Linked DNA regions of Saccharomyces cerevisiae S288C. The gene in region 1 interacts genetically with each later gene. Each region holds a gene or a part of one and is shown in the gene's direction. Other genes may lie near its edges. The genes, in order: VAM3, FAB1 and CDC9.

Region 1 (3,194 bases):
AACTGGATAAAAGCCTAGAAGAACTTCAAAATTAAAGGGGCGCAAGAAAGTTTCAAATATATTACATATTTGCTACTTAGATCAAGAATAACCACCCCCGGTCGTGACTTTTTAGATTTTTTTTATCTTGTTTATTTTTAGCAAAATAACCGTTTCAAGAAAATACTAGAAATATAATCAAAGACTCCCAAGCGTATACACAGTAATGAACGTTTGCAAGTTGAAAGAAATAGTACCACTATTTCCGAGATCGTCCTTTACAGATGGTGTAGTAAGTACAGGAAAAAGTTTCCGAAGCTGGGACACCTGCATGGACAATAAAGCATGTAAAATTATTGCGATTGTTGGTATTGTTTTGGCCTGTATTCTTGTGATTTGGTTGATTGGGGGCTTACTGACATGTTTCAGGCAAGGGGTAACAGGAATAGGTCAGTTCATTTGTTGGTGTTGTCGTTGTTCTAATGACAGAAATGGAAACAATACAATGCCGGTAAATGAGGGTTTTAGTAGAGTTAATATGGGCGTGGCTCCTCCTTCTACTGTGATTTATCAGCCTATTCAACAACCTGAAAGTGCGTATTATAGAAACGATGCGAAGAATGATACATTTTACGACGAAGTCAAAACTCCCAGTAATGAGGTGTATGAATTAGAGGAAGATTTCGATTTGGAAAAACAAAAAGAGAAAACAAGGAAAAAACAACAGAAGGAAAGAAATAAAGAAGGACGCAGCCCTAGTAGGGTGGCCCCTCTAGTGTATGAAGAAGAAAATTTCGAAGGTAGCAGCCCTCAGCCGCAATATGATGCTAGAAATTCGTTTATCCAAAATGCGGCCAATACTGGTAGCAACAACGCTCATGTTGCTTCACAATCTCCAATTTTTGACATCAGCGATTATGGCGAGAACTATTATTACGATAATAATAACATCAATAATAACCTCCAGGGAAACAGTTACAATACTCCCTCCTCTAATCATAGAAGTCCATATCCAACCGAAAATTATCAATCATATCAGGGATATAAACCAAACCAAAGCGATAGATATTACTAATGAGGTAAATATATATTCCCCCTTCTTTTGAATAATCAGTCAGACATTTTAAGATCAAGAGGATTCATTGGTAGATTTTGCAAGAACCAATTAGGAATTTCTTCAGGAATAACTGTGAGCTTGCGTTTACGGAAAGGAAAGTAAAAAAAAATCTTCCAACGAGTTTTTCCTTGTACCGGTTGCTAAAAAGGTGCCTTCTAACAGGTAACACCAGAAACCGCAACTTTTAAAATGCAAATAAGGGCAGTCAATGGTGAACTTCCTCTTGGTCAGTTAGTATGTACAATAAATTAGGTTGTTTTCCTCAGGATAAAAGTGATCTATTTGTAACATATAGTTTACCTAGGTGCTGACGAGGACACAGGAAGAGCAAAACTAAGATCATACAAGTCAATACTTATTATAATCAAATGATAATATTCGTTCAGCCTCATATTCGAGTTTCACATCACAACTTTTTTTTTCGCGAGATGCGCAGTAAAAACTCTATATACATTTTTGTAGTGAATTTTGATTTTGATGTAAAGAAAGCAGCCAGGAGATTAAAGGAAGGAAAATAGAACAATAAAAAACCACGGGATCAGCATTAACAAATTGGCCAACTAATATCCACTGCAGAAAGTTGAGATTATGTCCTTTTTCGACATCGAAGCACAATCTTCAAAGGGTAACTCCCAGCAAGAACCACAATTCTCAACAAATCAAAAAACGAAGGAATTAAGCAATTTAATTGAGACATTCGCTGAACAATCCCGCGTGCTGGAAAAGGAATGCACCAAAATTGGTTCCAAACGGGACTCCAAAGAACTAAGATACAAAATTGAAACAGAGTTAATACCGAACTGCACCAGTGTAAGGGATAAAATTGAGAGCAACATCCTCATTCACCAAAATGGAAAGTTGTCTGCTGATTTCAAGAACCTGAAAACGAAGTATCAATCCCTACAACAATCATACAATCAAAGGAAGAGTCTGTTCCCTCTAAAAACGCCTATTTCACCAGGAACATCTAAGGAAAGAAAAGACATCCATCCGCGAACTGAAGCCGTGCGACAAGATCCAGAGTCTAGTTATATTTCTATAAAAGTAAACGAGCAGAGTCCTTTACTGCATAACGAAGGACAACACCAATTACAGCTGCAAGAAGAACAAGAACAACAACAGCAAGGATTGTCCCAAGAAGAACTAGATTTTCAAACAATCATTCACCAGGAAAGATCCCAACAGATAGGACGCATTCATACGGCGGTACAAGAAGTCAATGCTATTTTCCATCAGCTCGGTTCATTAGTGAAAGAACAGGGAGAACAAGTAACCACCATAGACGAGAATATCTCGCATTTACATGATAACATGCAGAATGCAAACAAACAATTAACCAGAGCAGACCAGCATCAGAGGGACCGTAACAAATGCGGTAAGGTCACCCTAATCATTATAATAGTTGTGTGCATGGTGGTATTGCTTGCTGTATTAAGTTAGTAATCTCCTTAAACGCGCATTGAGCACAGACTTTCTGGTAGACCCAATCTTATCTATTTACGAAAACAAGAGTGTATAAGAGTGTATAAGTTATTTTTTGCATTTATTCTTTTGTGGTAGGGGGGTTTCTTAGCCGCTCTTTTTGACTCAAAATTTCCTTTGATGTCTAGTGATAGTGCACTTCCCATGTGCGCAACCTGTGTTTTTTGTACTCCGTAGTTTAAATGCAAGGGCTCGATATGCCCTTTTTCCTTTTTCTACTTTGTACGATCTACACTGACCTTTTTTCAGTAGTCCGTAAATCCCCACGAATTTCTACTAGCGACTGCCAATAAAAAAAGGATTGTGCTACTGTATGTAAAAAGTAAGAACCCTGTTATTTTCCGTTAACTGTCATTTGCCTTACTGTTGCTTAACGGCCGCCAACCGTTATCAAGAAACAAAACATTGTATGCGTTGTCTTCTAAATGAACCTTGTGGGCCCTGATAAACATAAGAACGTGTCTGGCTCGGAAGTATTTATCTTATTTCAATTTTCGCTTTTGCAGAACATCCTTGCCTGTCACTAAGATAAGGACAGAGCGTGGATTAATAAAAATGGCAGAATTTCTCGGCAAAAAAAGAAATCATGCATAATTACCTCGATGTGTACGTTATT
Region 2 (3,758 bases), on another chromosome or scaffold:
TGTTACCATTGCTGTTGTTGTCAAGGTACGAGTTTTTGAAAATGGGTCTGTTGCCAGCACGAGAACAGATCGGTGTATGGGAGATGGAGTCACCCATATCCACGCCAGCGTGGCTCAGGTCAGAGTCGTTAGTGGTCCTGTATTGCATATTGTGGATAGTATTCTGGAAATCCATGGGTCCGCTACTCCTACGTTCGGCTCCCGGGGCGTGCTCCCCGATACTGCTTTCGCGTTCCCGGGCTTGTTCCCTGGAATTTAGTGCGTCCATATAATTGGTAGACCGCCGTCTAATCATGGGGACTGGCTTGTCTACGCTTTGAGCGGGAGCGCTTGGACCCGGGAGGTTGAATGTAGAAACACTAGGTGTTTCCTGTGCACAGGGCGGTTCGTCGATGTTGAGGAAGTCCTGTGATCTTTCAAATGTGGGTGACGTGCTCACTTGGGGCGTGTTCAAGTGGGGATCTGTCATGAGGGTGAGTGTATGCGTGTGTGTGTGTGTTGCGTAGATGTGTGATTTACTATGTGTTATGTAGCTGCTCTCATCGCTGCTGATAGTAGATCTCTCGCGCAAAAATTACTCAGGCAAACCTTTACTATACCTACATATATATATATATATATGTATATGTATGTGTGCAAGCTTTTCAGAGTGGTGCACTGACATTGACCGGGCCACTCATTCCACCCCACATCCCCCAGATCAGGGGGAGATGTTAACGAAAGGAAACAGGGGATTTATCACTGGTTACGGGAGCGTAGTGACTGTACTACAAATTCGCACACAAGCAGCGCCCAGTGACGAGTCTCCGCGGCGTCTAAGTGCCGGAAGTCATCATCCACGGTGTGCCATGTACTTGGGAATGGTAGCGGGATTGCATGTAATACGGGTACTCCGGCGGCCAGGAATGGCGTGTGGTCGTCTCCGATGACCGAATGCCCGAGCCCTAAAAATCGATAGTCCGTGGGGTCCAGATGTTTGCGTTGACGCGCGACTTCGGCGGCTAATGCCGATTCGCCGTTGATTTCATCTCCACGTCGAAATAACAAGTCATCCTCTATTCGATTGAGCAGCTGATATTCTTGATGTGTCTCTGCATAGTAGCTGGGCACTAGCGGCTCCTCTTCGCCACTTCCTAAAAGATCCAGAAGAAATAATAGGCGAATTCTTGTCATCGTGCCGTCAGCAAGCCATTGGGCGGCTAATCGGCGTGCTCCATAAATCGAGTCCTCGGGGCCCCACTCTTCAATGGCCTCCTCTCCATCAAAGAATACGATCTTTACACCCAAGGTAGAATTCGATACTACAGTGTTCGACTCTAAGTCATTGTACTCTTTCGTGCGCTCGTGGCACGCGATGTGCGTTAGGAACTGGGCCGTATATAGCAGCGCGGCACACGAGGCGGCACTGTCGATAGCGCCCACCATCCCCGTGGGCGCTATCTTGGTATCATAATGAGCAGCGAGCACTAAGTACTCGCTCGCATTGTTTTGTAATGTCATAACAAGGTTATTGAAGCGGTAACCGTTCTCCTCAAAGGCTTGCGTCTCAACGGCCCATTCTCCCGCCAGCGTATTGTTGAAGTGCTCGATGATGAAGCGCTGGATCTCGCGCGAGCCTTCCGATCCGGGTACGCGCGTTCTGTTAAAAGGCAACAGCAGGTTCTTGGTACTTTTGTTCCAACCGCTGTCTGGGTTGATAGCTTCGTTCAGATGCGCTGCATGGTACTGCTCATATGACAACTCCCACCCAGTTACCCTATGCACCTGAAATAGCACCAACAGGTACGCTAGACCAATTAGTCGCAAAGGCAATACGTACTTCATTCCCATGCTTACGACCTTTTCAGTCTTTTTATTTCTTTTCTGTTGACTCTCTCTAACTCTCCCTCTCCCCCTCTTCTTCCCATGAAATGTATCACAAGCCGTCTTATTCCTTTGCTTCTTATATTCTTATGTTCCTTCCTTCGTCTCGCCTCGAAGGCAACGCAAACGCAATGTACTTCTTGACGAACGCGAAAACCATATGGAAAGTAAATAAAGGGCCAAACAAAAAACTATTTCGAATAGCAAGGTAGCTTCCATCCTGTACATGCAAGACCGTCACACAGCATGTCATCGGAAGAACCCCATGCATCTATATCCTTTCCAGATGGCTCACATGTCCGGTCGTCCTCCACTGGTACTTCATCTGTGAACACAATCGATGCTACCTTATCCAGACCGAACTATATTAAGAAACCGTCCCTGCACATTATGTCGACATCTACGACGTCGACTACGACGGATCTAGTGACAAACCCAATTCTGAGCAATATCTCCGTGCCAAAAATAAGCCCCCCCACATCATCCTCGATAGCAACAGCGACATCAACAAGTCACGTGACCGGCACTGCGTCGCATTCGAACATTAAAGCTAATGCTAACACTAGTACCAGCGTGAATAAGAAAAATTTGCCGCCAACAACTAGTGGGAGGATACCCTCTAGCACCATCAAGAGATATCCGAGTCGCTATAAGCCTTCTCACTCGCTGCAGCTGCCCATTAAGAACGACTCCAACTTTAAACGATCTAGCATATATGCCTCCAAATCCACTGTTACTGCTATCCCCATTAGGAACAATCGGCCAATTTCCATGCAGAATTCCTATGCGCGCACTCCTGACAGCGATCATGACGACGTTGGCGATGAAGTGTCTTCGATAAAGAGTGCCTCTTCTTCGTTGACCGCATCCCTGTCCAAGAGTTTCCTGTTCGCATTTTATAACAACCGCAAGAAGGACAAGACCAGTAACAATGGTGTCCTCTCAAAGGAATATTGGATGAAGGACGAGAGTTCTAAAGAATGTTTCAGTTGTGGTAAAACGTTTAACACTTTCAGAAGGAAACACCACTGCAGGATATGCGGCCAAATTTTTTGCAGCAGTTGCACTCTCTTGATAGATGGTGATCGATTCGGCTGTCATGCCAAGATGCGAGTATGTTACAATTGTTATGAGCATGCAGACACATACGAGGACTCCAGTGATGAAGAGAATGATTCTACAATGCAATTGAATGAGCCAAGGTCTCGCTCTCGCTCTCGTTCTTCCAATACCAATCCATATTCTCATTCACATTCGCATTTGCATCTCATTTCACAGGACAACCATAACGGTACCGATCTCCATGATCCAGTAGCAGCAACGGATAACCCTCAACAGCAGAATGAGGTCTACCTATTAAATGACGATGACGTACAAAGTATAATGACCTCAGGTGAAGATTCTAAATTGTTCATTTCTACACCCCCACCACCACCGAAGATGGCCATCCCAGCAACAAAGCAAGGCGGATCGCTGGAAATCTCATTCGATTCGGAAAACGATAGGGCTTTGCATTATCAAGATGACAACCCCGGTCGCCATCATCACCTCGATTCCGTGCCCACAAGGTACACTATCAGAGATATGGACAATATATCACATTACGATACCAACTCTAATTCCACTTTGAGGCCACATTATAACACCAATAACAGCACTATTACCATCAACAACCTCAACAACACTACTTCCAACAACAGCAACTATAACAATACCAATAGCAACAGCAACATCAATAATCCTGCGCATTCCTTAAGAAGGTCTATTTTCCATTATGTAAGCAGCAATAGTGTTAACAAGGACAGTAACAATAGCTCTGCAACACCCGCTTCGTCTGCACAGTCTTCTTCCATACTGGATCCTGCCAATCGTATTATCGGGAATTATGCTCATAG
Region 3 (3,758 bases), on another chromosome or scaffold:
ATGCGATGCGAGAAAATGCTCATCTGATTAGAAATGCGGACTGGAATGACAGAATCACTTCATAAATCAATTAGAGTATATCCCCGGTTATTTGAGCCATTATTTTGAGACTGCTGTTGAGACTGGTTACCAAAGCCATAGCCTGTTTGTGTTGGTACGACGCTAGTGCTTGGTAAACCTGTATACTGACTGTTCAAAAACGGATTGTGGTTTGGATCATCCGATACTTGCCTATATCCTGTTCCTTGAGAATTGATGAATGTTCCTGTCTTCGTATGTTGGGCAGGAATACGAGCCTCCCCTACATTTCCGAATGTATCAATACCTGTTCCTGTGGCTAGTAGCTCGTTTAGTTTACTATACTTGTCTGTCATTGATTGATTGCCTGTCCTGTTTTGAATCAATGGCTCTTGTTGTTTTTGTTGTTGCAGTTGCTGTGGAGAAGAAGCTGCTACTAGTTGGTTCCGTTTTGGTGAACTTGAGCTCTGTTCTGATTTGGCAAATGGATTGTTGGACATTGCCTGTTGCTGCTGTTGCATAGAAGCTAAGTACTGTTGTTCCTGTAGTTGTTGTTGTTGTTGAAACTGTGCTAGTTCTTCGGGTGTTATAGGATTCCCGAATACATCGTAGTACATTGGTTGTTGTTGCAACTGTTGTTGTTGCTGTTGTTGCTGTTGTTGCAATTGAAATTGTGCGTATTCCTCAGGAGTGATTGGGTTACCAAAAATATCATAATACATAGGTTGTTGCAATTGTTGTTGGCCTTGCTGTTGTTGCATTCTTTGTAAATCTTGCAATCTTTTTAGCTCCTCTTCTTCTTTGCTCAACTGCAAAGCTGTTTCATAATCCTCGTCCTGTTTTCTTCTTCTTTCGTCTTCTTCCGCCGTCAACCTGCTAGCACTAATGGCTCTTTGCAAATCATCGTCATTTTCATCACTGCGCCCAGTTCCCCTTCTTCTTCTTCCTTTCCTGTTTCTTCCCTTGATATTCATGTTCCTTTCCTCGTTCAGTCTTTCGTCATCAGATAGTAATGCAGTCAATTCTTTTGCTTTGACCCTAACGATTTGACCTTGATCTATGCCCTCATCGTCCTCGTGCCTGAACTCCTTCAATGTCTTGATGATGTATAAATTTTCTCTACACCAAAGAACACAATTCTCACTACCAAACCTGATCAAGTAATCTATTACTGTCAATGCCTTTGCGATATGCCTCCAGTATTTGCCCTTGTCGTTAAGTCTTTTGTCCAGCATATCCATGATTTCGAAGAAATCTGCGCTATCATATGATTTTTCAGCCAGCTCAATTAACGAGTCCTTGGACACTTGATGATTGTCGTTTGACGTTGCATTTCTTACCAGGACCTGGGTAGAAGAGTACCCTTTCACCAAATTCTTCGCAGATCTAACAAATTGTTTCGACATGATTGTTCTGCCTCTTGCTCCCTTTCCTTCTGATCCTGGCACTCATACGAACGGCTCTTTCTTCTACTTCTTAAAACTCCTATTTGTCATTGAAAGAAACTTTCATCATTACCCGGATGATTCTCTATACGTAGCCACAATTTCAGACAACCATACTTCCAAAATCAAGTACTTTGAACAACATAAGGCCCCACCAACCTTCCGTAAGACTTGCAATAGGAATTCGTACTGCAGCCGCTGGTTCTATTGCTGTTTAACTCTGTCATCTTTTTGCTCGCTTCGATGTGTTCCTCCACTTGAGATGGCTGATGGAATTTTTCACCTTAACGCGAAAACGCGTGAAAGTGAAATTTAGCTGCAATAAGCCATGCGTTTGCATCTCGCTGTACTTTGTTCAAAAATAAAAGTAATGATTTTGGAGGTTTAGAGCAGCTTTTAACGTCATTGTTCATCAATTACATGCGCAGATTACTGACCGGTTGCCTTCTTTCATCTGCACGTCCCTTGAAATCAAGATTGCCATTATTGATGTCATCCTCATTACCTTCCTCTGCCGGTAAGAAGCCTAAACAAGCCACTTTGGCTAGATTCTTCACTTCCATGAAAAATAAGCCAACAGAAGGTACTCCTTCTCCCAAAAAATCATCCAAACATATGCTGGAAGATAGAATGGATAATGTTAGTGGGGAAGAGGAATACGCGACCAAGAAATTGAAACAGACGGCTGTTACACATACTGTAGCAGCTCCAAGCTCCATGGGTAGCAATTTTTCTTCTATACCATCATCCGCTCCCTCTTCCGGTGTTGCTGATTCACCGCAACAATCTCAGAGGTTGGTAGGTGAAGTTGAAGACGCCTTGAGCTCAAATAATAATGATCACTATTCGTCTAATATCCCCTATTCTGAAGTTTGTGAGGTTTTTAACAAGATTGAGGCCATATCTTCCCGTTTAGAGATTATAAGAATCTGTTCTGATTTCTTTATTAAGATAATGAAGCAATCGTCTAAGAACTTAATACCTACAACATACCTTTTCATCAATAGATTGGGCCCTGACTACGAAGCAGGCTTGGAATTAGGCCTTGGAGAAAATCTTCTTATGAAAACCATAAGCGAAACTTGCGGGAAATCCATGAGCCAAATTAAACTTAAATACAAGGATATTGGGGATTTGGGTGAAATAGCAATGGGTGCGAGAAATGTCCAACCCACTATGTTTAAGCCCAAACCCTTGACCGTGGGTGAGGTCTTCAAAAATCTTAGAGCTATTGCTAAGACTCAGGGCAAAGATTCACAATTAAAAAAGATGAAGCTGATCAAGAGAATGCTTACTGCTTGCAAAGGTATAGAGGCTAAGTTTTTGATTAGATCCCTAGAGTCAAAATTGAGAATCGGTCTTGCTGAAAAGACTGTCTTAATATCCCTATCGAAGGCTCTTTTGCTCCATGATGAAAATAGGGAGGACTCTCCAGACAAAGATGTCCCCATGGATGTGTTAGAAAGTGCTCAACAAAAGATAAGAGACGCATTTTGTCAAGTACCCAACTATGAAATTGTTATAAACTCATGCCTGGAACACGGTATTATGAATTTAGATAAATATTGTACTCTAAGACCAGGAATTCCATTGAAACCCATGTTAGCCAAGCCTACCAAGGCAATTAATGAAGTATTGGATAGATTTCAAGGCGAAACTTTTACGTCAGAATACAAATACGATGGTGAAAGGGCTCAGGTGCATTTACTAAATGATGGTACAATGAGGATTTATTCCAGAAATGGCGAGAATATGACTGAGAGATATCCAGAAATTAACATAACGGATTTTATCCAGGATTTGGATACTACCAAAAATTTAATTCTAGACTGTGAGGCTGTTGCTTGGGACAAAGATCAGGGGAAAATTTTGCCTTTCCAGGTCTTAAGTACAAGGAAACGTAAAGACGTGGAGCTGAATGATGTTAAAGTTAAAGTCTGTCTCTTTGCATTTGATATACTTTGCTACAACGATGAAAGGCTGATTAATAAGTCACTAAAGGAAAGAAGAGAATACTTGACGAAGGTTACAAAAGTTGTCCCGGGAGAATTCCAATACGCGACTCAGATAACAACAAATAACCTTGATGAACTTCAAAAATTCCTTGATGAGTCCGTTAATCACTCATGCGAAGGTTTGATGGTCAAAATGTTGGAGGGCCCTGAATCCCATTATGAACCAAGTAAAAGGTCAAGAAACTGGTTGAAATTAAAAAAAGATTACTTGGAGGGGGTTGGAGATTCATTGGATCTCTGCGTGTTGGGGGCATATTATGGTAGAGGAAAAAGAACTGGT

What was found.
Region 2: mutations in VAM3 (region 1) and FAB1 together harm fitness less than expected from each alone (positive genetic interaction), as found in Saccharomyces cerevisiae (2 studies listed by BioGRID).
Region 3: mutations in VAM3 (region 1) and CDC9 together harm fitness more than expected from each alone (negative genetic interaction), as found in Saccharomyces cerevisiae (2 studies listed by BioGRID).

The regions. Positions count from the first base shown.
Region 1 is NC_001147.6:517,437-520,630, forward strand, and holds VAM3 (SNAP receptor VAM3), read left to right. Parts: upstream 1-1,684; coding exon 1,685-2,536; downstream 2,537-3,194. Other genes in the region: PIN2 (Pin2p), read left to right, coding at 206-1,054; YOR105W (uncharacterized protein), read left to right, coding at 759-1,085. UniProt on the Saccharomyces cerevisiae protein: Required for vacuolar assembly. Provides the t-SNARE function in a late step of the vacuolar assembly. Required for homotypic vacuole membrane fusion, autophagy and fusion of biosynthetic transport vesicles with the vacuole.
Region 2 is NC_001138.5:182,393-186,150, forward strand, and holds the start of FAB1 (1-phosphatidylinositol-3-phosphate 5-kinase), read left to right. Parts: upstream 1-2,109; coding exon 2,110-3,758. Other genes in the region: IGD1 (Igd1p), read right to left, coding at 1-469; YFR018C (uncharacterized protein), read right to left, coding at 739-1,830. UniProt on the Saccharomyces cerevisiae protein: The PI(3,5)P2 regulatory complex regulates both the synthesis and turnover of phosphatidylinositol 3,5-bisphosphate (PtdIns(3,5)P2).
Region 3 is NC_001136.10:165,380-169,137, reverse strand, and holds the start of CDC9 (DNA ligase (ATP) CDC9), read left to right. Parts: upstream 1-1,883; coding exon 1,884-3,758. Other genes in the region: ENT1 (epsin), read right to left, coding at 60-1,424. UniProt on the Saccharomyces cerevisiae protein: DNA ligase that seals nicks in double-stranded DNA during DNA replication, DNA recombination and DNA repair. The mitochondrial form is required for mitochondrial DNA maintenance but is non-essential while the nuclear form is essential for cell viability.